Linked DNA regions of Rhinolophus ferrumequinum. The protein of the gene in region 2 interacts with the protein of the main gene of each other region in a pairwise test. Links are inferred from orthologs where the notes say so. Each region holds a gene or a part of one and is shown on either strand. Other genes may lie near its edges.

Evidence for each region. The genes of interacting proteins can lie anywhere in the genome.
Region 1: the proteins of HMG20A (region 2) and HPCAL1 interact in binary tests that used the Homo sapiens proteins (3 or more experiments, as listed by UniProt). The two-hybrid records come from large-scale screens. The link is inferred for Rhinolophus ferrumequinum from reciprocal best matches to the Homo sapiens genes HMG20A and HPCAL1.
Region 3: the proteins of HMG20A (region 2) and BRAP interact in a two-hybrid assay, tested with the Homo sapiens proteins (2 studies listed by BioGRID and IntAct). The link is inferred for Rhinolophus ferrumequinum from reciprocal best matches to the Homo sapiens genes HMG20A and BRAP.

What each region holds. Positions count from the first base shown.
Region 1 is NC_046296.1:65,484,277-65,491,521, forward strand, and holds the start of HPCAL1 (hippocalcin-like protein 1), read right to left. Parts: upstream 3,007-7,245; 5' UTR 2,685-3,006; intron 1-2,684. UniProt on the Homo sapiens protein: May be involved in the calcium-dependent regulation of rhodopsin phosphorylation.
Region 2 is NC_046289.1:100,470,139-100,477,328, forward strand, and holds the start of HMG20A (high mobility group protein 20A), read right to left. Parts: upstream 3,004-7,190; 5' UTR 2,778-3,003; coding exon 2,692-2,777; intron 1-2,691. UniProt on the Homo sapiens protein: Plays a role in neuronal differentiation as chromatin-associated protein. Acts as inhibitor of HMG20B. Overcomes the repressive effects of the neuronal silencer REST and induces the activation of neuronal-specific genes.
Region 3 is NC_046308.1:6,973,586-6,980,614, forward strand, and holds the start of BRAP (BRCA1-associated protein), read right to left. Parts: upstream 3,007-7,029; 5' UTR 2,815-3,006; coding exon 2,733-2,814; intron 973-2,732; coding exon 811-972; intron 1-810. Other genes in the region: ACAD10 (acyl-CoA dehydrogenase family member 10), read left to right, coding at 3,315-3,361, 6,857-7,029. UniProt on the Homo sapiens protein: Negatively regulates MAP kinase activation by limiting the formation of Raf/MEK complexes probably by inactivation of the KSR1 scaffold protein.

The DNA of each region.
Region 1 (7,245 bases), on a different chromosome or scaffold from region 2:
ATTCGAGGCACCAGCTGGGGGGCGTACACCCAGGGAGTCCACTCCTGTCCATGTGGTCCTTATTCCACAGGCCTGTGGCCAGAAGGGGGCATTAAGATGAGTTCTGACGGAATCTGTCCAAAATCTTCTATTTCTCTTGGAGTCTCTCTTCTACCAGGGCTTGTTGGAAATGACTGGGTCATTGGCTAAGTTTGGGCGAATCTCTGGTTTTCTCGGGTTTTGACTTATTCTTGTTTTTCTATAAGTCAAATGACCTTCGGGGCATCTGATTCCCAATGCCAAGTCTCCCAAATTCTCACACGTTGACATCTATTCTCCACTTTACAAAAGGCATAAAAGTGGAGCCCAAAGGGAGCAGGCAAGGCTAGATCAGGTACCAGCAGCAAGTGAGAGGCAGAGCCCCGGGGCCTTCTCTCTGGCATATTATCCAATAAAACCTCAGGAGCTCAGTAATTACAGGCACTTTCAAAAGTGAAACAGAAATAAATCTAGGGCCAAAACACTGGTTTGCTTGAGACAAAGAGCTGGTTTCAACCAGGGAGAGAAACAGTTTTTGATCTGTCTTCTGAGAAAGCCAGACTAATTTTTTTTTTTAATTATTATTGAATCTGATTATGGGGAAGAGGAGGATGAAAATCAAAAGCCCTTTCTCCTCTAGTGTATAAAATCATTTTATGGAACAGGCTGCATTCTAAATGTGCCCCTGACACCAAATCAGGATGAAAACTTAGCTTATTTGGTTCCGCCGGCCTGCCGTCACTGCAGAGATCTCAGGGCTTACCTACTGGCAGAAGACAAACCTGAGGATCCCAACCAGAGGTTTCTGCTCCTGTGTCCTAAAAGCCTGCAGAGTATTCCAGCTTTCCTGAGAACACCAGCAGGAGCACCTGACACTGGGAAACGAAGCCCAGACCCAGAGGCAGCCAGGCCCACAGACCCCATGCCCCTGCCCCTTTCTACGCCAGCTCCATTTTGAGAGCCTCCTGCACGGTGAGGTCAGCTGCTCTCTTGGTGAAAGGTTATCTGTTGTTCAGACTGGGAAGGGTCCTGGGAGGCAGAAACCACAGAGATGGAAGGAAGGATTCCCTGACTCTGACAGAAGGCGGTAGGGCAGCGGGGCCAGCTCACCCTGCTGGGTCCGAGGAAGTGCTATGGTGCTGTTGGCAGGACTCTCCCGGAGTGCATCATGGTTGGAGCTGTGTGCACATTCACCGCAGTTCAATGTCACCAGTAGCAGGTTTCAAAACTAAGCATTTTTAAAATTAAGCTGTGGGACTATGAGGCAGGGTCCCAGCAGACCCTCTTCCTCCTGAGTGAGGCCATCAAAGGGAGCGGAGAGGGAGGGGTGGGGGTGGGGTCGGAGGGCGTCCAATGCGGAGGCCCAAGGCAGGACTAGCGGTCCTGGCAAACATCCTCCTCTAGGGGGAACCGGTATCTGCGGGGAGCAAAGGGGGTGGCCTTCACTTTGACCAGGCCCAGCCGGGACGCCCTGAGAGCCCAAGATCTGTCCCTGCGGGGAGCGCCACTTTCACACCGTGGCTCTCAAATTCCACAAGCTGCACGCCCCGGGGACTAGGCACTTGTTGAACAAAAGGGCTCCCGACCCCGCAGCCGCTGCCTTGCCCAGGAGAGGGGTCCCGCTCCGGCGCAGGAGCCTTTGCTAGAGAAGGGCCCGCGCCGGGTGCTGTGCTGCGCTCTCCTGCACACCCGAGGCGGCGTCGCCCAGGACGTGCGGCGAGGAGGCAGCGCCCAGCAGCCGAAACTTTCTCGAATCTCGGTGCTTCGCGGGTAAGTTAGGACCCGGAGAGAAGCACAAAACACGCGCGGTGGGGTCTTGGGGGCAGAATGTAAGAGCCCTACCCACGATAAAGAAAAAAAAGATTAAAAGAAGAGGGAGACTCCGATCCAATTAACGTAGCACCTATTATGTGTCAGGCACTTGGTCAAGAGCGATCATTTTAGCTGTCACGACAGACCCTGAGGGAGCAACTGTCCCTATTTGATAGACAAGCAAATCGCGACCCGGGAAGGTGGTGTATCTGGTCCAGTGCGGGTCACAGAGACGCCAGGGCTCCTAACTCGAGAAAAGGGCTCTGTCCGTCGCCCCTCCGCCCCGGAAGGAAGAAGCGGATGGCCGTCGTGCGGGTCCTCTCCCACAGCCAAAGTGAAAAGGCGATCCACGTGGGCCGCGTGGACCTGCCCCCGGGCGGGACTAGCCTAAGGTGCTCCCGGAGCCCGCGCTAGCCCTCGGGATCCCAGCTGTACCTCCAGGGCTCTGGAGCTCCGCACTGCTCCAGCCCCCCGCGAGCCGGGATCCCGCGCAGGGCTGGACCGCCCACGCCCACCCCGCCCCTCCCGCCCCACGCACAGCCGCTCACACTCGACACCCGCCCCGCCGTAGTCCCCACCAGCAACTAAGCCTCGACACACAATTGCACAAACGCAGCCCAAAAGGTGCACACACAGATCCCCAAAAGGACACCCCATTCCAGGGGCACACCACCGCCCTCAGTCACCCACAACTCCACCGCACAGAGAAATAAACATAGGCACCCCCACCCAACACACACGCACACACGCACACACACACACACACACACACACACACACACACACACGCAGAGAGCCGGATCGCAGCGGACGCCGCGCACTCCCCGCAGACCTGCAGCCCGCCCCTTCCCTACCTGCTCCCGCGCAAGACGCGGTCAGCCGGCTTCCCGAGCCCAAGTTCGGTGCCGCCGCGCTGGAGCAGGCGCGGGCCGCTGCCCCGGACAAGCACGCCGAGACCGGGAAGTGTGGCTAGGAGCGCGGGCCTCCTTGCGCCCGCAGCCTTCGCGCCGGCCCCGCGCTCATCGCCGCCGAGAAAGACAAAAGGAAGCCAGCAGCGAGGGAGAGAGCGAGGTAGAGGTGCCCGCCCGTCTGCCGGTCTGCCGGTCCGCCGCCTGCAGCCGACGCGACCCGCCTGCCAGCCTCGGGAAGGAAGGAACGCGAGGGCGGGGCCCGGAGGCCGGGGCCGGGGGCGGGGCGCGTGGCTGGGGGCGGGCGCTCAAGTTTCCTACGGACTGCTCCCTCCTCAACCACGCCCCCATATTGGCCACGCCTCATCTCTGGCCACGCCTCCTGCTGGCCCGTCCCACGCTGGTCCCTAGCTCTCCTTTAGCGCACCCCGGGCGAAGCCGCGGCTCTGACCCGGTCCCAGCCCGCGGGAATTTTGGGTGAGGGGAGGAGCCGAGCACCGGTTCCACCTCCCAAACCCTTGGCCTCTGGCCTGCGGGTGTGGGAGAGGTTGGGAGGCGGCGCCCGGGAGGGATCGGCCGGGTGCCCGTTTCCCCGCCTCCCGAGTCCTCGGCAGGAAATGGGGCCCGTGTTGCCCAGAAGGGGAAGAGCCTGAGTCGCCCTAGTCCGCTTGCTATGCCCCTCTGTGTCACCGCCAACGCCCGTCCGGTGAGCAGATACCACCAAACTTCCCTCGCCTTCTTCAGGGAAGGAGCCAGGGGCCGGGAGAAGGGAGACCTGCCTTGGGTTCTGGTTGACCTCGCTAATTCCAGGCGGTTTGGGCAGGCCCCTTAGACTCTCTGACCTCCGTTCCCCCATCTATAAAATGGACGGGAGGAGCTGGCTTCTTCCGGCCCTTCCCTCCCTGATGTGCTGTGAGTCTTCAGTCTCTGCTGAGAAAGGGGCTTGGTTGAAGTCACTGAGATAATCCCAGGGACACGTGGCCTCCTGGGAGAGGCAGACCGTGTTTCCTGCAGACTTCCTCTATTCCCTGACGATGGCACCTGCGCGAGAGGGCAAGAATCAGGGACTCCTCGCCCAGCAGCTCCTGAAAATCCAGGCCTTAGAAAATAAAATATATACCACTACCACCACCACCCACCCCAAACATCCCTGAAGAAAGGTAACCACAGAAACAGCCAAAAATGTGGAGCTGGGCGTTAGTGTTAGACTGAGACAAACTGTCTTTCTAGCGTCTCTAGGGAAAAACTCAATCCTCCTCCACAAAAACACGGTGAGTGAACTCCCACTACACAGGAGGCTGCAGATAAAAACCGGTGGTGGGCGGCTTTGAGGGGGAATTGGCTGGGGGCTGGCAGGCGAGGTGGTCTGGGTCCAGACGCCTCTCTCTTCAGGCAGAGGGTAAAACCAAACCCAGAGGGAGTTGGTCTCCTAGCCAGCCCTGCTGTGAGGATTACATGCAACAAGGACCATGGGCATCAGCAGCACTGACCTTGGTGCTGCCTTACGGAGCCAGCTCTGGCACCTGGGCTACCCTCTTTCCTTCCCAGCGTAGACCAGTGGCCAAGGTCATTGCTTGGCTTTCTGTAGCATATCCACGCAGAGGATAGGGTTCCAGGTAAGGAGCCTTCCATCAGGTGCCCAGACCAGGCCCATCAGCCAGGTGGTTAGCAGGGGTAGTTTATATTCTGCTGTGGTCACCCATCTGATCCCACTTCAGTGCAGGTCGGAGGGTGTGGGGAAGACTCCACATAGGTGTTCAGCAACCCCAGCATCTTCCATCTAGAGATTCCACCACTCTCCTTCAGTGCTTCCAAACCTCCACTGACCCCTCGACTTCCAGCCCACAGCAAGAAGCAAGCGCTAGCTAGGGTCCCCTGGTCATTAGAAGCCAAGCCTGGAGGGGCGTGCACATCACTTCTGCCTGAATTCACTGATCAGAATTAATCACCCAGTCCCTGGAGGCTAGGGGTCTGGGAATTGCAGTTTTCCTGTGTGACCAGGAGAAAACAGTCGCTTTGCTGAGCACATTGCGATGTCTCTGCCACAGAAACAGGGCACACTTCTCCCACACTCAGTCACAGAGCAGCAGATGTCCACACAAAGCACGACAATTACTGTCCTCGAGGCCTGAGCTATATGACCCCCTGCAAACCCAGCTCATGGGGAGAGGGTCAGGAAAGACTCACAGAGCAGGTGACAGTTTTGCTGAGCCTTAAAAGATGAGGAGGGGAGAGCATAGTAGACACAGGCGAGAGGCAGTGTGGATGGTAAGAAAGCTCAGGGAGACCACAAAAACAGATGGAGCGTGTTCCTGGACCCTGCCTCTCACACTGATCTCCGTGCCCGGGCTGCTGGGCTGTTCTCTCACTGGCCTGACTCTCCCTCTCTCCCCACCAATCTGGAACCTACCTATCCCTCAAGACTCAGTTCAGCTGTCACCTGGCCCTCCAGCCTCTCCGCTCACATGTATTATACTTCTCTCTCCTCTGAACTTCTGAAGAAAGCATGTGTCTCCCTCAGATGAGACACAACCTGCTGTCTTCCTTTTTGTGTCTAGTGCACCTTCAGAACAAAGACTGTAAACCCCTTATGAAGCTTAGTGGAGGGAGAGCATATAGTGGTGACTCAGTAAGTTCGGTGGCATTTAATAAGCCAGAGAAAGTAAGAAAGCAAATTCAGGGTAGGGTGTTGTATTAGTTTCCTGGGGCTGCTGTAACATAGCACTACGAACTGGGCAGCTTGAACGGCAGACGTTTATTGTCTCAGAGTTCTGGAGGCTGGAAGTCCAAGATCAAGGTGTCAGCAGGGTTGGTTCGTTCTGAGGCTGGGAGGGAGAATCTGCTCCAGGCCTCTCCCCAGCTTCTGTAGCCGTGAGTATTTCTTGGCTTGTAGATGGCTGTTTCCTCCCTATGTTTTCCCATTGTCTTCCCTCTGTGTGTGTCTCTGTGTCCAAATTTCCCCTTTTTATAGGGACACCAGTTACATTGGACTAGAGCCCACCCTAATGACCTCTTCCTAACTTGATCATCTGCAAAGACCCTATTTCCAAACAAGGTCACATTCACAGGTACCAGGGGTTAGGCCTTCAACATCTGTATGGGGGAACAATTCACCACATAACAGATGCCATGCTATATATACAATTTGTCTTCCACACGATGGCTGTAAACACCTAGAGGCAGGTATGACTCTGATTATTAATAATATCTGACTTAGTTTTATGATATTGTTTTTGAAGCACTTTGCCATATACAGCCTCCAACATTCTTGCAATTATTTCCACCTTTTACAAATGAGGACACCTATGCTTGGAGAAGTGAAATGCCCAGGGTCACATATGAGAATCAGTGACAGCCAGATCTAAATGCCAGACTTGATGTCACTGTGCTGGGCCCATACGGGCTTTGGAAAAAAATACTATTTAAAAAAATCATTTGCTAAACTTGATTGTGTATCCTACCAGGGAGGATCTTTCAAAAACGTGCTTTTAGCTCACAAAGCCTTGCCCCCAAATGTTTGAGGAAGTGAAGGCCTGCTGGTTTCCAGATCCTCTTTTGATTCTGTCACTATGCCATTTGTAATTACAGAGGGGAGAAGTGTGGCTGCCGGGAATAGAGTGGGCGATGCTCCCGTAGGGTAGGGTGGCACCTCTGACTGCCCGCCTTTCCCCTGACCTCAAAAGCTCAAAGCAGAGGAAACAGCCAGAGAACACGCTGGCAGCACCGGTGGCAAGAGTCTCTGGATCCTGCCTTGCATCAGTAGAAGGGTCAGAGGTGGGGAAATTGGATCATTAGACCATCTGGCTTATCCCTGAGGTCCAACAGTGTTTGTGATGGCCCTTGAAGCAGATGTGGCTCATGGGTCACTCAGGAAGTGTGACTCAGAGGCACATTCTGATGGATCCCCTTCCTGGTTCGTCCCTGAAAGCTCCAGGGGTCAAGATAAACTAGAGTGTCCCATCTCCTAGAGCAAAGAGACTGACTTGTGTCCCTACTCCAAATTCGTCCACTGAAGCTCTAACAACCCCCATTGTACCTGTATTTGGAGATGGGACCTTTAGGAGGAGATTAACGTTGAATGAGTTCATAAGGGTGGGGTCCTAACCCAATAGGATCAGTGGCCTTACAAGAAGAGGAAGAGAGAATGAGATTGCTCGCTCTCTCCACAAAGACCATGTGAGGACACGGCGAGAAGGCAGCCATCTGCAAGCCCGGAAGAGAGTCCTCACCAGATTCCAAGTTAGTCGGCACCTAATCTCGGACTTCCAGATGCCAGAGCTCTGAGAAATAAATGTCTGGTGGTTAAGTCAGCCCCCTAGTCTAAGGTATTTTGTTGTGGCAGCCCAAGCTAAGACATGCCCTGTGTGTCTTCTCATCTTCTAGTTCCCACCCCATCTGCCCTGCTGCCCGTCTCTAATCTCAAGGCCTGGGCTCCTAGGACCCTGTCCTCAGGACCAGGGTCTTTTAGGACCTTATTTTGTTCCTTGAGCAGTACCTTGCCCTCTTG
Region 2 (7,190 bases):
CTAATACAGTGATTAGCACACAGTAGGCCCACAGTAAACTTTTGTTGAAATCACAAAAAGTCATGTAAGAGGTATTCTCATTTGAACACTCTTGAAGGCCCTGAAGTACAGGTAAAGATTGCAGAGTAATAAGTTTAAAAACCATTCAAAAACCATTCAAGTTATTAGGAGACTCTCTTTAACACTTGACCTCATGGCAAAATCTACTAAAACAACACACGAAAAAGTTATAGTTGTAAAACATTAGTATGATTTTACAAAAAAAGGTAGACAAAAGAATGAAAAGACACTTTTGCATTATATATGGTGTCTAGTGTTTTGTGGCTAATCAAATGTCACTGAGATGAAATACAGAATTTTGACTTACTGCTTTAATATTTCAAACCTCTGTGAACAGTGTATCCAAATGACTGCTTCTGGTTATCTAATCTAAACACTCTAAAAATGGACAAGTTCTTTATTATAGATGGCAACTAATAGAATGAAAATCTCAAATTCATTAACTCAAAGATGTAACAAGAGCACACTTACAAAAGCATTTTTCTAACTTTGATAGTATGGTTCTATTAGAACATGCAAAGAAAACTGCAACAAAAAGCATTAAGAAAAAAAAAAAAAGCCTTTGGGAGATAGCAATCCTCTTCACAGAAACACTTTTAGAGAGAATTAAAAGCAGGTTCGCAGGTTCCATGACTTTCCCTTTATTTTTCACAAGCTTTTCTAGTATTTCTTTTTGGATGGAACCAATGAATAACTACCACTTATCACAAAACATCCTTTCTCAGATATGTGCTTTATATATTGCAATCTTCTGAACAGTTTTTCAAGCTGCTCAAGTCTTTCAACCCCAGCAATTTTTCTTATTTCTATTACACTGCACTTATTCCATGAAACAGCACAGAAACCAATTTAATCAACTTTGCTTTCTTTTTTAAAAAACTTCTTTGCTTTCCGAAGTTTCCAAAAGGCAATACTACTATCTCAATCAATATTTTAACGATGTTTTCTCTTTTTCATTTAGTTCCAATCTTTACTTACTTCAGTAATTCCTAATACTATAGTTTAACAGTTTAATTTGTCAGAATGACCATATCATATTTTCCTCTATATTACAGTAATATAGAAGACAGTGAACACCTTCTCTCTAAGCAATTAATTAATACTTGAGGCAGTCTACATGTCTGTAACCTTATAATGACAACAGACATTTTGTCTTGCCTTTTCAACTACTGCAGAAATGTGGTAGTCTTTAAAAAGATAACTCATTGATTTTTAGGGTCTTAGATCTTTCTTGTCTACAGAAGGTTAAAACATATTTTTTCCCTTTATTGTAACATGTAATTTAAAACATTTTCTAATAAACTCTAAACAAAGTAACTTTTTAAAAGAACTAGAATTAAAATAATTGCAAATTCTGAGGACAGATTAGGTAACAATCTCAAAAGAAAAAAATACACTGGCTTCATTCTTTTAAAAATCCTTGAAGAACATCACAGTTCACTTGATATTCTAAAATTGCTACAGTTGTTGAGATTTCGTAATTTCCAAATAGACTGATTCCTTCGTTATACATCCACCCACCCCAAGTATTGTGGTACTTGAAAACAGAAGCCAAGAAATAAAAATTGTTGAGTGTTCATTCCACTTCACATATAGTTACTTATAAACCATTGATAATATAGGAAACAGAAATTTTTTTCTTAATCATCTTTTGTCCTTTGTGAACCAAATTCCCCCCGCCCCCCACTTAAAATCTGGGCTGAATCTCCTGATTCTTGCACCATGCTTTAAAACCCCAAAGAACAAATAGATACGGCTGTTGAACTGATCTGAATTTAATTAAATCACAAAGGGGGAAAATGTATTCGGCTAACTTTCACAAATGCTACATGTTACAATTATGATTATTTTTAAGTCTGAGGAAGTTGTTCTCAGGCACAGGGCAAACCCTGTAGTCCAAAATCAACAGGTTTAGGAAATTTAAGATACCATATCAATTAAGGCAACACCAAGTATTTGAGTACTTCAGTATGATACTTTCACTCCGGTAAGGTGAACATGCCTCATAATTTATGTAAAATGTCGCGTTCTGTAGAGTTCCTGTGTCATGTCAAGGCAGAGAACACTAAACCTGTCGGTGAAGGTTGGACGTGAGTCGGGGAGCAGAGCTGGACAATTACGAGTTACACAAGAAAGTACAGCATGTCATTTCGCAAAGAGGAGGAGAGAATTTTAACAAATGGTTTCTATTCTTTGGCGAGCGCATTAAGAAAATTTTGTCGGTGAGAAAATTTTCCATCTTACACATTGAAACAAAATTCACATAAATTCTTACTGGAGGCTGGAGATGAGCATAAATTGGTGGAATAATCTAACTTTTCACATAAAACACAATTCCAAACCTTTAAAATACGTGCTGTACTGGCAACAAGCACCACCTTTTCAAGACCTCGCCGGCACAGGAAGTGTGGGAGGGACACCCCCAAATCATCCCCCTACCCCACAGGAAGTGAGTTGTTTCCCCTCCCCCAGGACGGCCTTCTTCCCCTCCCCCAACCGGAAGTGAGGCGCCCCCATTCAGTCGGCCTCAACCCGAGACAAACCAATTAACAACAGCAAAAGAGCGATGGTCTTCAAGGGGTGAAGGGCACCCCCACTGTGGCCACCCCCAAGCTCGCCTTGCTTACTGACCTGCTGACGATAGGGGCAGGCAGGGGCCTGGGGCTAAAGAAAGTCCCTGCACAGAGGACAATTCTCTGAGCCCCTCTCAATCGCATTCACTCTTCTCACTCCGTCGTCTCGCAGCTTGACAAAAAATTCCTCCGCAATACTTTATTATGATATCCTTCTTTCTTTACGTAATTGTTTAACTATCTTCCCATAGGCAACTTCTCTCATCGCAGTAACATTTAAAATTGTTTCGGTAAGGAGAAAAATGAAATACTATTCCCAATACCTTCCGAAAAATGAAGGGATTATTTTGTTCAAAAGCGGCGAAGGACTACGTGACTACGCAAAGCGAGACTTATTTTCGCGAAGGTTTCTGGGAAGTGTAGTTTTTAAGAATTGCTAAGGTCTGCAGTAAGTATTGTAGCTTAAATTGGCAATTACTATCGAATGGAGTCCTTGAAAACACAAGTTTCGTGTTCGACGCAGGCTGACCTAGGAGGCTCCGGCACCAAATGGGCCAATACTTTGTTTCCCTTTTCCTCTAGAACTTACTTGAACCGAAATTTCCCTTCATGCCGGCCCGAGGTTCTGGTCGTCCCGCCCTCCTCCTTTGGTCACACTCTCCTTAGCCAATCAGAAGCCCTCTAGGTCTCATTCTATTGGGGTAGGAACACGAGAAGGCGGGGCCTCACGGTGATACCTCCTGAGGGACGGAGGCGCGACAGGGCAGAGAGGGTCGAGGGCTTGTGCGCGCGTGCGGGCTCGCTCCTCAAGGAGCGCGGCGGCGAGTGCGCGCGCGGAGGGCGGTGCGCGGGGCTGGGAGGAGGCGGGCGGGCTGGCTGGTGGGCTGGGCGGGCGGCCGGGAGCGCGCGGTGGACTCGGCGGCGTCGAGTAGTTAGTTGTTGTTAGTGTCAGTTGGTCGGCGGCGGTGGCCGCGGTGAGCAGGAAGGGGACCGGCCGGCTGGCGATGGTGGTCACCGCGGTGGCGTGTGCGCCCCTCAGGTAACGGGGGCAAGGCTGTCCGCGTCCCCTTCGTCCCCTTCTCCTCTCGCGCCGGCTTGCGGAACCAGGGTCGCCGCGAGGTGAGGGCGCTAACTGGGGGGAATCCGGGCGGGGCAGCGCGGGGTCTGGGGAGCGCCGCCGCGGGGGCTCGGGCGGCGGCCCCGGCGCGGGCTCTGCGGCCCCGGCCAACCCTGCGCCCCCCCGCCCCTGTGCCCCCGGGGCCCGCCGGCACCGCGCGCCCCCTCGCGCCCCTTCCTGCGGCGGTGGCGGCAGCGGCGGCGGCCCCGGTAGCTCGGCGCCCCCCAGAGGAGGGAAAGTTGGGATCTGGCGGCGACGGACGTCTCCGGGCGCGGCTGGGAGCCTGGTGGGGAAAGTGAAGGCTGGATGGGGGAGCTGGCCGGCGGGAGCTTGGGGCAGGAAGGGCTCCCGTCCTCTTGCTAAGTTCGCATGGACGTCTCGCCCCGATCCCCGGAGCACCCGGCGCAGCCTAGCCAGCAGCGCCTGGACGAAACCGGTGGCTCTTTGCCTGCTCACTTGGGGCTGCGGTTTGTGAGCCCCCTAACTAACGTGCGGCTTTGCTTGGTTGGTCGGTTTGTTTCTCCTTTGCCCTTTGACTCATCCCGTTCTTGCAACTTTTCTTACCTCCCGCGATGGGGACTTGCGGTCTGAACCCCCTTCCCACCTCCCTCCCCGTCGCCTGCACCACCCGTCTGAGAGTTGGATTTCGTGTTTCGTCCTTTGGTGACGTTAAAGACTGCTGAGAGCAACAGGAAAGAGGAGCCCTCCCACCTTTAAATGTTACTTTCTTGCAATCCGTTATTATTTTTAAGACCCAAGTTTAGGAATTTGAGAGCTGTGGAATGGAGTTGTTGGAAGGCTGGCGTTTTGACGAATTAAAGGAAAACTAGATTTCATCTTTATTGGCCTTGCTATAGGAAGCCTAATACATTTTCCTTCTGCCTCTGTTAAATATGGTAAGAGTATACGTTAAATTACATATTTGGAGACCAACATACAAGGCTATTTTTTAGGTCATTAGATGATGTATGTCAACAGCTTTTCACCCGAATTGGGATGGCCTTGAGGATTCTGTTTTGGGGCCTACCTACTGATTTTTGTCTACCAAAGTAAATGAAATGATGTAGTAATGTGTGTATTTGGCAAACCCATATTGCTCTCTGCGGTGTGGAAGTTTTACGTGAATTATCCACAGGGGTAAAACTTTCCATGTGCAATCTTGGATACCTGCTTCTTGATGGCTTCCGTAATCTCAGAACATTTCTAGACAGTGCAATTCACTGACTACCTTAATTATTTTCTGAAGTGCTTGGCACTTCTCTTTGGTGACTCGTTTAGTAAACTATAATGGCAAGTAGGGTACATTTTCATGGCTTCAAATATGGAGTTAGAGTCTCAGCCCAGAGATTAACAGTTAACAATGGAAGCAGAATTCATACCATTGCTAGTGAGTTTTGGCTATGACCAACTCACAAACTATGTGAAAAACAAACATCTTTCCATAGCTGTCAGAGGGGAAGAGGAGAGAATATTTTATCATGTCTTTATTTTGGAGACTCTAACATGGCTGTATTATGTGGGAAAAAATGTCAGATTATTTTCTTTAAGGATTTTTGATGTGTGGTCCTCCTCTCCATCCCTCTACCCTCCATTGAGGGGCTGACATTTATGCTTGGCTGGCTTCCAGGAAGCGAAGAAAAGTGTTTTGTTGAAAGGAAAAGATAAGATTGCTTTGAACTATTATACTATGACTATTCATTTTACCCAGTACAAAGAAATGTCCTTGATAATTTTTGTACCCCATTAACATGCTGTCAGAATTCATTTTTAAACATACCCCGAGGCCCATAAGGAAATAATGCCACTTCATAACTGTTCCTGACAATCACATTAAAAAGTTGTTCCTGGAATGTGTTATGCGTGTATTCCTATAAACATTTATCTTTGTATATTTATGGTAATGTAAATATTTAAGTCTGTGAGCTTAAAAACTTTGATTTGCTTATTTGCATACATGTTTTTCAACGTCTAGCAGTACCAACCATATTTGCCAAATAAGCATCAGCCATAAATTCATGCTCTGGCACATTTCATATAGTAACTCTTTGAAATTGCTCCATGGTGAAGCATCATGAGATTAGCATTTCTTCGTGAGAGAGATTTGTTGTTGTTGTTAACTGTAGTGACGTGCTATGTAAGTGGAACAGGTGCGGGGCTCTCGCTGTTTGTGTGGAAACCTGCCAGATCATACTCTTTTGTTGGATGGGTTGTTTAAGTAATTTAGAAACCAAACTGTGGCTCCTGGCATGCCAAGTGTGAGTTCATGGCTCCATATCATTGCTGCAAATACCTATTTTCACTGCAAGAGGCAAGTGTGTGTGATGAACTTTATTTTCTCATTGCTATTCTCTTTACAGTAATTCCTACTTCCCACCATCACCTGAGTCCTTTCATTACTGGAGAGCTCCTGGGAAAGTCGAGGCTCCTTCATTACTGGTTGTTTTCCTTGGGGAAATTCTAGTAACTTTCAGGCCAGGAATTGATAGTTCACATTTGTTTGACACATATTTCGAGTGCCTTTTAAGTGTTAGGCATGGTGGTAGGCCCTGAGTATATGTAGAATGATATCCCTTTTTGCAAGGAGCGTACAGTTTAAGAGAAGATAGCTGATAACCAATAATTACATTGTGATGTGTTGTAGGACAGGTATAAGCAGATTCTTATGGATGGAAGCACAGAGGAGCAAGGGTAGTTGACTAACTACCCACCAAGACTTAGGGTCTTGGTGGCACGAGAGTGTCCTGTAATACTTCTTAGTGGGTTACCTGAGCTAGTCTTCAAAAATTGGAGTTATCTAGGTTCAGAAAGAGGGAAAGGACAGTTTAGAACACCACTGTCCTGAAAAAATACAATACAAGCCACAAATGTAGCTCACGTTATTTAAAAATTTTCTACTAACATTAAAAAAGGAAAAAGAGAAATTAATTTTAAAGACATTTATTTAACCTGACATATCCAAAATATTATCATTTCAACATGTAATCAATATAAGAAAGTATTGAGGTATTTGATATTCACTTTAGTTTTATTTTTCATTTATAGTTGACATTCAGTATTATTTCACATTAGTTTCAGGTGTACAGCATAGTAGTTAGACAATTAATATAATTTACGAAGTGATCCCCTTGATTCGTGCTCACCTGGCACTATACTTAGTTATTAGAATATTACTGATTATATTCCTTATGCTGTACTTTACATTCCCGTGACTATTTTGTAACTACTAATTTGTACTTCTTAATCCCTTCACCTTTTTCACCCATGCTCCTTCCCCCTCCCATATGGCAACCATCAGTTTGTTCTCAGTGAGTCTTTTTTTATTTTGTTTGTTGATTTTGTTCTTTAGCGTCTACATATAAGTGAGCATATATGGTGTTTGCCTTAATTTGTCTGAATTATTTCACTTAGCATAATACCCTCTAGGTCCATCCATGTTGTCA
Region 3 (7,029 bases), on a different chromosome or scaffold from region 2:
TGGGGGCTGCTGGATGGCTCAGTTGGTTAGAGCATGAGCTCTCAACGACAAGGTTGTCAGTTCAATTCCCGCATGGGAGGGTGGGCTGTGCCCCCTGCAACTGAGATTGAAAACGGCAACTGGACTTGGAGCTGAGCCACGCCCTCCACAACTAGACTGAAGGACAACGACTTGGAGCTGATGGGCCCTTGGAGAAACACACTGTTCCCCAATATTCCCCAATTTAAAAAAAAAAAAAAAAAAAAGGCCTATATTCACAGAACAGTGTTTGGGGCATCTCAACCAAAAAGTGCTCTTTGCCCCATAAAAGTTTTATTAATAGCCTCAGAAACTCAAGGATGGCTCTTACATTTGTCAGGAAGACAATAAAAGCAGGTGTCTTCCATCACGCACTCCTAAGTGGGACAAACATTCAAGGCTGTTAAGTGTGAAAACCAAACCTCCCAGTTCTAAGCACCTCCATGCTAGAGATGTGCTACCCATCCACTCCTCCGGGTGGAGTGAGCTGGCAGAGCAGGCAGGGAGAGACACACATGCTTATCTGCATTTATGCATGATTTGCCACTGACCTAGGTGGTAAGCAGCTCTCCTCACTGAATAGAGTTGTCAACCCAGCTTGCTAGGATTAATTTAGGAGAAATATTTGGAGAAGCTGAAACGTGGTTCGACAATCTCAGGTAAGGCGGCACACAGTCAGTGAAAGAGAGAAGCATGCTAGAGGGCAAAATCATGGGCTCACTGACTAACATGTAAAACAGGCAACCAGGGGCTTACATTACAAAACAGGGTGTAAGATTTTAGAAAGGATACCTGGGTTGGACTTCATGGTCTCAATGATCATATCTGTCATTTCTCGACGGCCAAGATGCTGATGTATGACTGCTGCTTTCTCCCCTGGTGACTTCCCTTCTAAACAGGCTACAGCTGAAGCTAGTGTCTTCTTTTTGATCTCCTCATCAGACATTTCCCCAGCTAAAGAACACATGAATGATTAATACCTGATAATAAAACGGGCTCCTCTCCACTCTCGATGTACCCACCAATAGGTTTCCTTTTTCTCTCTGCTTCCTTCCCCGAAGATATTAAGATGCCTTTGCAGTGCCCATCTCACTCACCTCTGGGGCTCCTGCAGTACCAAGCAGACAGTCAATAAACACCCAGTGCAATAAATTCAGAAATGCAGGACTGTTCCAGTGAAACGATTCACTTTAAAGCAAACCAATGAGAGTAAGAGCTTAAAGAAAGGTTTGAGAATGATTATACCCAGATGAGCCAACTTTTTTGTAATACCTGGTAAAGTACAACTGTGTATTGAGCCCAAAGGAAGGTATCAAGTCATTATCATTAAAAAGTAAAACTTTCAAAACCCGTTAGGGGTAGTCTACTTAAACCACCTATGTTAACCTCATGCCATGAATTGTATTATGAAAATCGGCAATCACTGTCTTCAATCAGTGAAACACAAAAATGGAAAAGGAATTTGGAGACTCAACTGAAATACCCTTAAGATAAGTTCTATCAGGGCAGGGACAAGGCCTACTTTGCCCACCACTTACACCACAGTGCCTAGCACACACTGGAAGCTTTTTAAAGATTTACTGAATGACCAAATGAATCAATGACCCACCCATGTAGAAGTGTGTATGTGGCAAATGAGGACTTGGCTGACTTTCAGAACTCAGAGATCACTTTTAGCCTTTGGAAAGTGTCCATCGTAACTCATTAAATCATATTCAATCTTTACTTTGCAGCTCTAAAATTCACATACTCGGGAAAGTTTCCAATGACACCATCCCTACGGGCTCTAGTTCCCCTCCCCAAACCAAACACATCCTCTTGTAATAGTTCTCCACACTGTTTCTTTCTTACCTTCACAGCACGTACCACACTTCTAATTCTACCTTTATTTTGTAACTCATCTGTCTTCCCCAATGAACTGCCGGGGCCAATAAAGCAGGGATTCTGATCCTGCACACAACTAAAGCTCCGGCAGACAGTAGCATTCAACAAGTATTTCTTGAATGAATGTTGTCAGGTAATTGTTTGAGGAACAGTCATAGCTGCCTTTCTCTCCTAAGGAGGTTGTGTGGCCGGTAAGGAACAGCTCCGACTCTTCAAGTCCAGCTCTCTGAATCAGAATCCCAGTTTCACCACTTACAGATAATCGTGGGCAACTCATTCAATCACCTGGCTTCAGTTTCCCAATTTGTATGTAAAAAGGGGCATCTACCCATGTAACCTAATAAGAGTTGTTAATTAAAGACAAGACGCACAGGTACAGAGCTGGGATACAGGAAATGCACAAATGTGAATTATTAATGATCGCTATTGTTACAAGAAGCCTGAGTGAATACATTTTCAAAGAGGAACGATTTAATTAAACCAAGGACCCTCATCGTCGCTGAAATCCAGTCCCTGCCTTCACAAAGCCAAGAGGAAAACAACTTACAAAACTCGACTGTAACCCAGGGCGGAGGCGACGCGCCAGGTAGAAACAGAGTGCCCGTGGGAAGGCACCAAGAGGGAGGGACCGGGAAGGGCGTCCCAGCGTCCACACCTGGGAAGGCCTCTTCAGGAAGGATGGAGTGAGAGGGAACCGGCCCCCTCTTTGCTTCTTCCCGAAGAAACAGCTCTCGCCGAGGCCTTTCCCGGAGCCCGTACTTTAGGAGGACCAGCTCCCCCCGGGGCCCAGGCGCGAGCAACAGGGAAGGCGGCGAGGCCGCGGGACTTACCCGCGGCGCTGAAGCCGAAGCCGGCGGGGACGGGCGAGTGTTCTGCGAGCTCCAGACGGATAACAACCAGTGACACACTCATAGGGCAGGCGCTGGCCGGCGCGGGCCCCGGCGGGCTCAGGAGAGGCTGGGACGCGAGCCGACAGGCCGAGCGGCCCGGTGTGAGCAGCGCCGCCGCCACCACCTCAGCGCCACTGCCGCCGCCTCAGCAGCAGCAGCAGCAGATCCTCGCACAACCCTCAGCGCCACAACAACTTCCACTTCCGCCTCCCGGCCGCCGTCGCTGACCCGCAGGGTTACGCATGCGCAGACCAGCACGCGCCCTGATTGGCTGGGGTGGAAGTGAGTCTGAGCCTAAACCTGCCTGACGGGATCGGGAGCAGGTTGGGAAGGAGGGACGCCGCGGGCCCTGTTAGGCCGATCGGTAGGTGTGCGCCCTGGTCTCGCCTTCAGCCTGTCTCAGCAGACGGCGGAACGTCTCCGTCCCCGCGAGTTCTCCTAATGGTCCGAGAAACCCGCGCTCAGTCGAGAGCCCTTGTGCCTTTCTGTTTTATTTGACCGCTAGCTCTAGCTCAAGGCTGGATGCTTTGTGTCAGCCCCACTTTACAGATAGGTTCGCTGAGACTCAGGTAAATGCGCTTCTCTGAGGGCCCGCGGGGAGTAAGGACTGGATTGCAGTGTCTCCATCGCTGTTAGGGTAGGGCGGTGGGTTTGTTAAGTGTCCAGTGCTGGAGATAGATCTGGGTCCTACTCCCGCCCCATCACTTCACAAACGTTTACTGAGAGCCTAGTCATTGTTGGTGTGGTGAGGAAGTGACCTGGGAGCGGACCCTTCTCGGCGCCCTGTCCAGGTTCTTGGTATCTCCAGCAAAGAATTGAATGAGACACAGAAATACACTGGTGAAAGAGCAGTTTATTAGAAGTGCAAGTACACTCCAAAGAGAGATAGGAGTGGGCCTGAGCCACAGAGTGGCTCAAAAGGCGCTGACTGGTGAGGACTTGGAGTTTTTATTTCCTTCTCTTCTAGAATGGGCTGCTCCTCTCTAATTGTGGGGCTGCTTGGTTGATACCTGTGATTGATAATGGCTAATGGTTATGGTAAACAAGGGCAAGTTTGGGCGGAGAGCCGAGGTCTTTTGGGTGGTTATTTCTTGTAGACTGTTGGAAGTGGAGGAATGTTACCTGCTGTATCCAGGTGTCTCAGAGACCCAATTCCTGCCTCTAACAGCCTGCTTTATGTCCCCCATGAGAGATGTGATCCCGGTAAGTCTCTGTGGGACATTGAGGAACAGGAGATCTCTTCTGTATCTGCTTCCTGCTGAATGTGGCCGTTGTCCCTGCCTATTGGGGATTCACGGGACTCTCGCCCTATCTGATCTTAGATGAGGGTAAGGGATCTTGGGATCCACCTGGAGGACTATGTTGACCTCTGTGGTCAGAATGTACTGGAAGTCTTGGTGGGGCATCCTAATGGACCCGACATGAGGAGAGATAGATTTTAGTTAATAGAGTTAAAAGTGTTGGTCCAACGAGCAGGACAGAAAGCCACTGACGCAGGGAGACTGTGTGACGAATAATTTGTTCAGCTTCATGGAGCCTGTGGTCTTTCTTCTGGTTTAATCGGTCATTCAGTTATTGTTTACCCAGGAGGTAGGCCTGGAAAGAACGCTCTGCTACAATGACAATAATCAACAAGATAAATCACAACAAGCATAAATCACAAGATTTAGGGGACTTAAAGGAGGGGGTAGGATATTTCTATGATTCAAGTTAAAAACAATCTATTGTTTACGATTAAGAAACTGATTTGAGAAATGATTCCAACCAGGGACTAGGGAGCTAAGACATTAGGGAAAAGGAGACTTAAAGTTTTTATAGTGAGGAGGCTCTCCAGTATCACTTCTGTATTTCTGCCTGACTTGTGAATTCCACATGATATAAATATGAGGTCTGACAAGTAAGTTCCTGAACTCATCCTAGAAAAAGTGCTACATACCTCATGGCTGAATATCACTTCTGTCACCTTTGAAGTATGCCCCTTGGGAAGCTACGCACTGATGCCAGCACCTCATCCACCCTTCAAAGCAATGTTGGAACTCTTTTTCTGGAATGGCCATCAGAGCAGTCGTCGTATTACCCTTGATGTCCTGAAAGTCATCCAAATGTCTTCTTTTCAATATTTCCTTTATCTTCCAGTAAAGAAAGAAGTCACTGGGGGCCAGATCAGGTGAGCAGGGAGGGTGTTGCAATACAGTGATTTGTTTACTGGCTCAAAACTCCCTCACAGACAGTGCCGTGTGAGCTGATGCATTGTCGTGATGCAAGAGCCATGAATTGTTAGGGAAAAGTTCAGGTCGTCTAACTTTTTCATGCAGCCTTTTCAGCACTTCCACATAGTAAACTTGGTTAACTGTCCAGTCGGTACAAATTCATAATGAATAATCCCTCTGATAGCAAAAAGATTAGCAATATCATTGCAACAAGTTTGTGAACTTAATTGTCAGACCTTGTATGTGTGTGTGTTGTGTATGTTTTTTCCTGAACCTTTTGAAAGTAAGTTTAGAAAAGAGGCAATGGAGAACAAGAGGCCATTGCAGTGATGGTCTGAAGGCGGGATGATGGTGTGACGGTGGCATCCTTGTTTCTAGGAGGAGGTGAATACAGGGTATCTTAGGAATATACAGGAAAGACTCCTCATCTGTCTTTTCTGGTAGCCAGAAGAGGTTTCAGGAAGGAAGTGACAGGTAAACTACCACCTACAGGACAGTTTGGAGTTAGCCAGGTTACAGGTGGAAGGTAGCTTCCTAGGCCAAGAAAACAGCATATGAAAGGCCTAGGAGCAGGAGGAGAATATTGTTTCAGGAAGGTGCATGTAGATTTATTTGTCTAGATCATCCAGGTTAAGGTGTAGAAAGAGGGGACACAGATCTTAAAGGTCCTTTTCAGTCAGGTTCAGGAAGTTTATCATAAGAGTAATGGGTCTCGTGGTGTGGAATTAACCCCTGGTCATTCACAAAAGGTGAAAGCATTCACACAAAACACACAAAGTGGGAAAGAAGAAAGGTTTTATTATTAAAGTTAGGAAGAGAGAAAGTGCCCTTGGCAGTGTCCAAAGATGTCGGCTGCCACAGGCTGTAAGGAGAGAAACAGGGGCGGGGGGGTGTAGGAGGGAGGGTGTCGCCAGGGCAGAGTCCGGAGTCTGAGAGTGGGCTGCTGCACTAACTTCAGGTTAGCTTTTCCTTATATAGGAAAGTGGGAGTCGGTCAGGCAGGTCTGAGGGCTGACATCCTTCCTGGGGTCTGGTCTGTTTGGAGACGATGTTAGCTCTGGACTCAGCCTTGGCCCTTGCGACTGTGCATCACCAGTAAAACCTGCAAGAAGTTGTAGATGGGATTCCAGTGTCCCAGTGCCTAAGGATTAAGAAACTGCTCTTTTCAGGTTAGGATGTTGTTAATTAACAAGGTACGGGTAGCCTGAGGAAAGGCACAGAGTTCTTCAGTCAATCAGTGAGGGGAGAAGCAACGAGAAAACAGATGAGTATCAGGATGGATCAAACTGCAAGCAAACTAAGTCTAATGACAGGTGGCTAGATAGTGAGCTATGCGGTGAGTGAAGTTGGAAACTAGCTAAGTTTAACTGCGCTATTGATTCCCTGAATTTCACCCTCACAATGGGGAGCCATAGGAGGTTTCAAACTTGCAGTGTTGAAAGATTCCTCGGTTGAAGAGTGAAGGAAAAATGAGGAGGTTCAAGAAGAGGCGAGCGGGCCGTTTAGGAGGCTGTTGCCATGATCTGTGGGTGAGGTCATGGCAGTGAGAGCGGAGAGAGGTAGTAGAGATTTTCAGGAGGAAGAACTGAGCAACTGGAGTTGAGGTTGCCGGGTGGGGACTCAGGGACATCAGGGGCGAATCCCAGTTTTCCAGCTTGGGCAGTTAGGTGACTGGTGGAGCCTTTTACTGAGCTATGGACCCCAGAAGGAGTAGTCAAGGAGGGCAGAGATACCGAGTTTAATTCCGGTTGTGGTTTGAAGCGTTGGAGGTCAGTGGAGATGTCCAGTTGGCACCCCTGAGCTCCAGGGGGGGAGTCTGGATTGGAGGCAAACTGCCCTGTGCCTTCTCACGCAGCCTTGGCCACAACATGTGCATAAGGCGGCTTTTCCAGTCCCCTCTCCAGTGGGCTTGGAGGGCAGCCTTCCTGAAACACAACCAGTGCAGGCACCAGGCAGCCCGGCGATGGACTCGTTCTGGAGGCGGCCCCTACAGAGCGGTGATTTTTGACATGGGTGGAGTTCTCATTC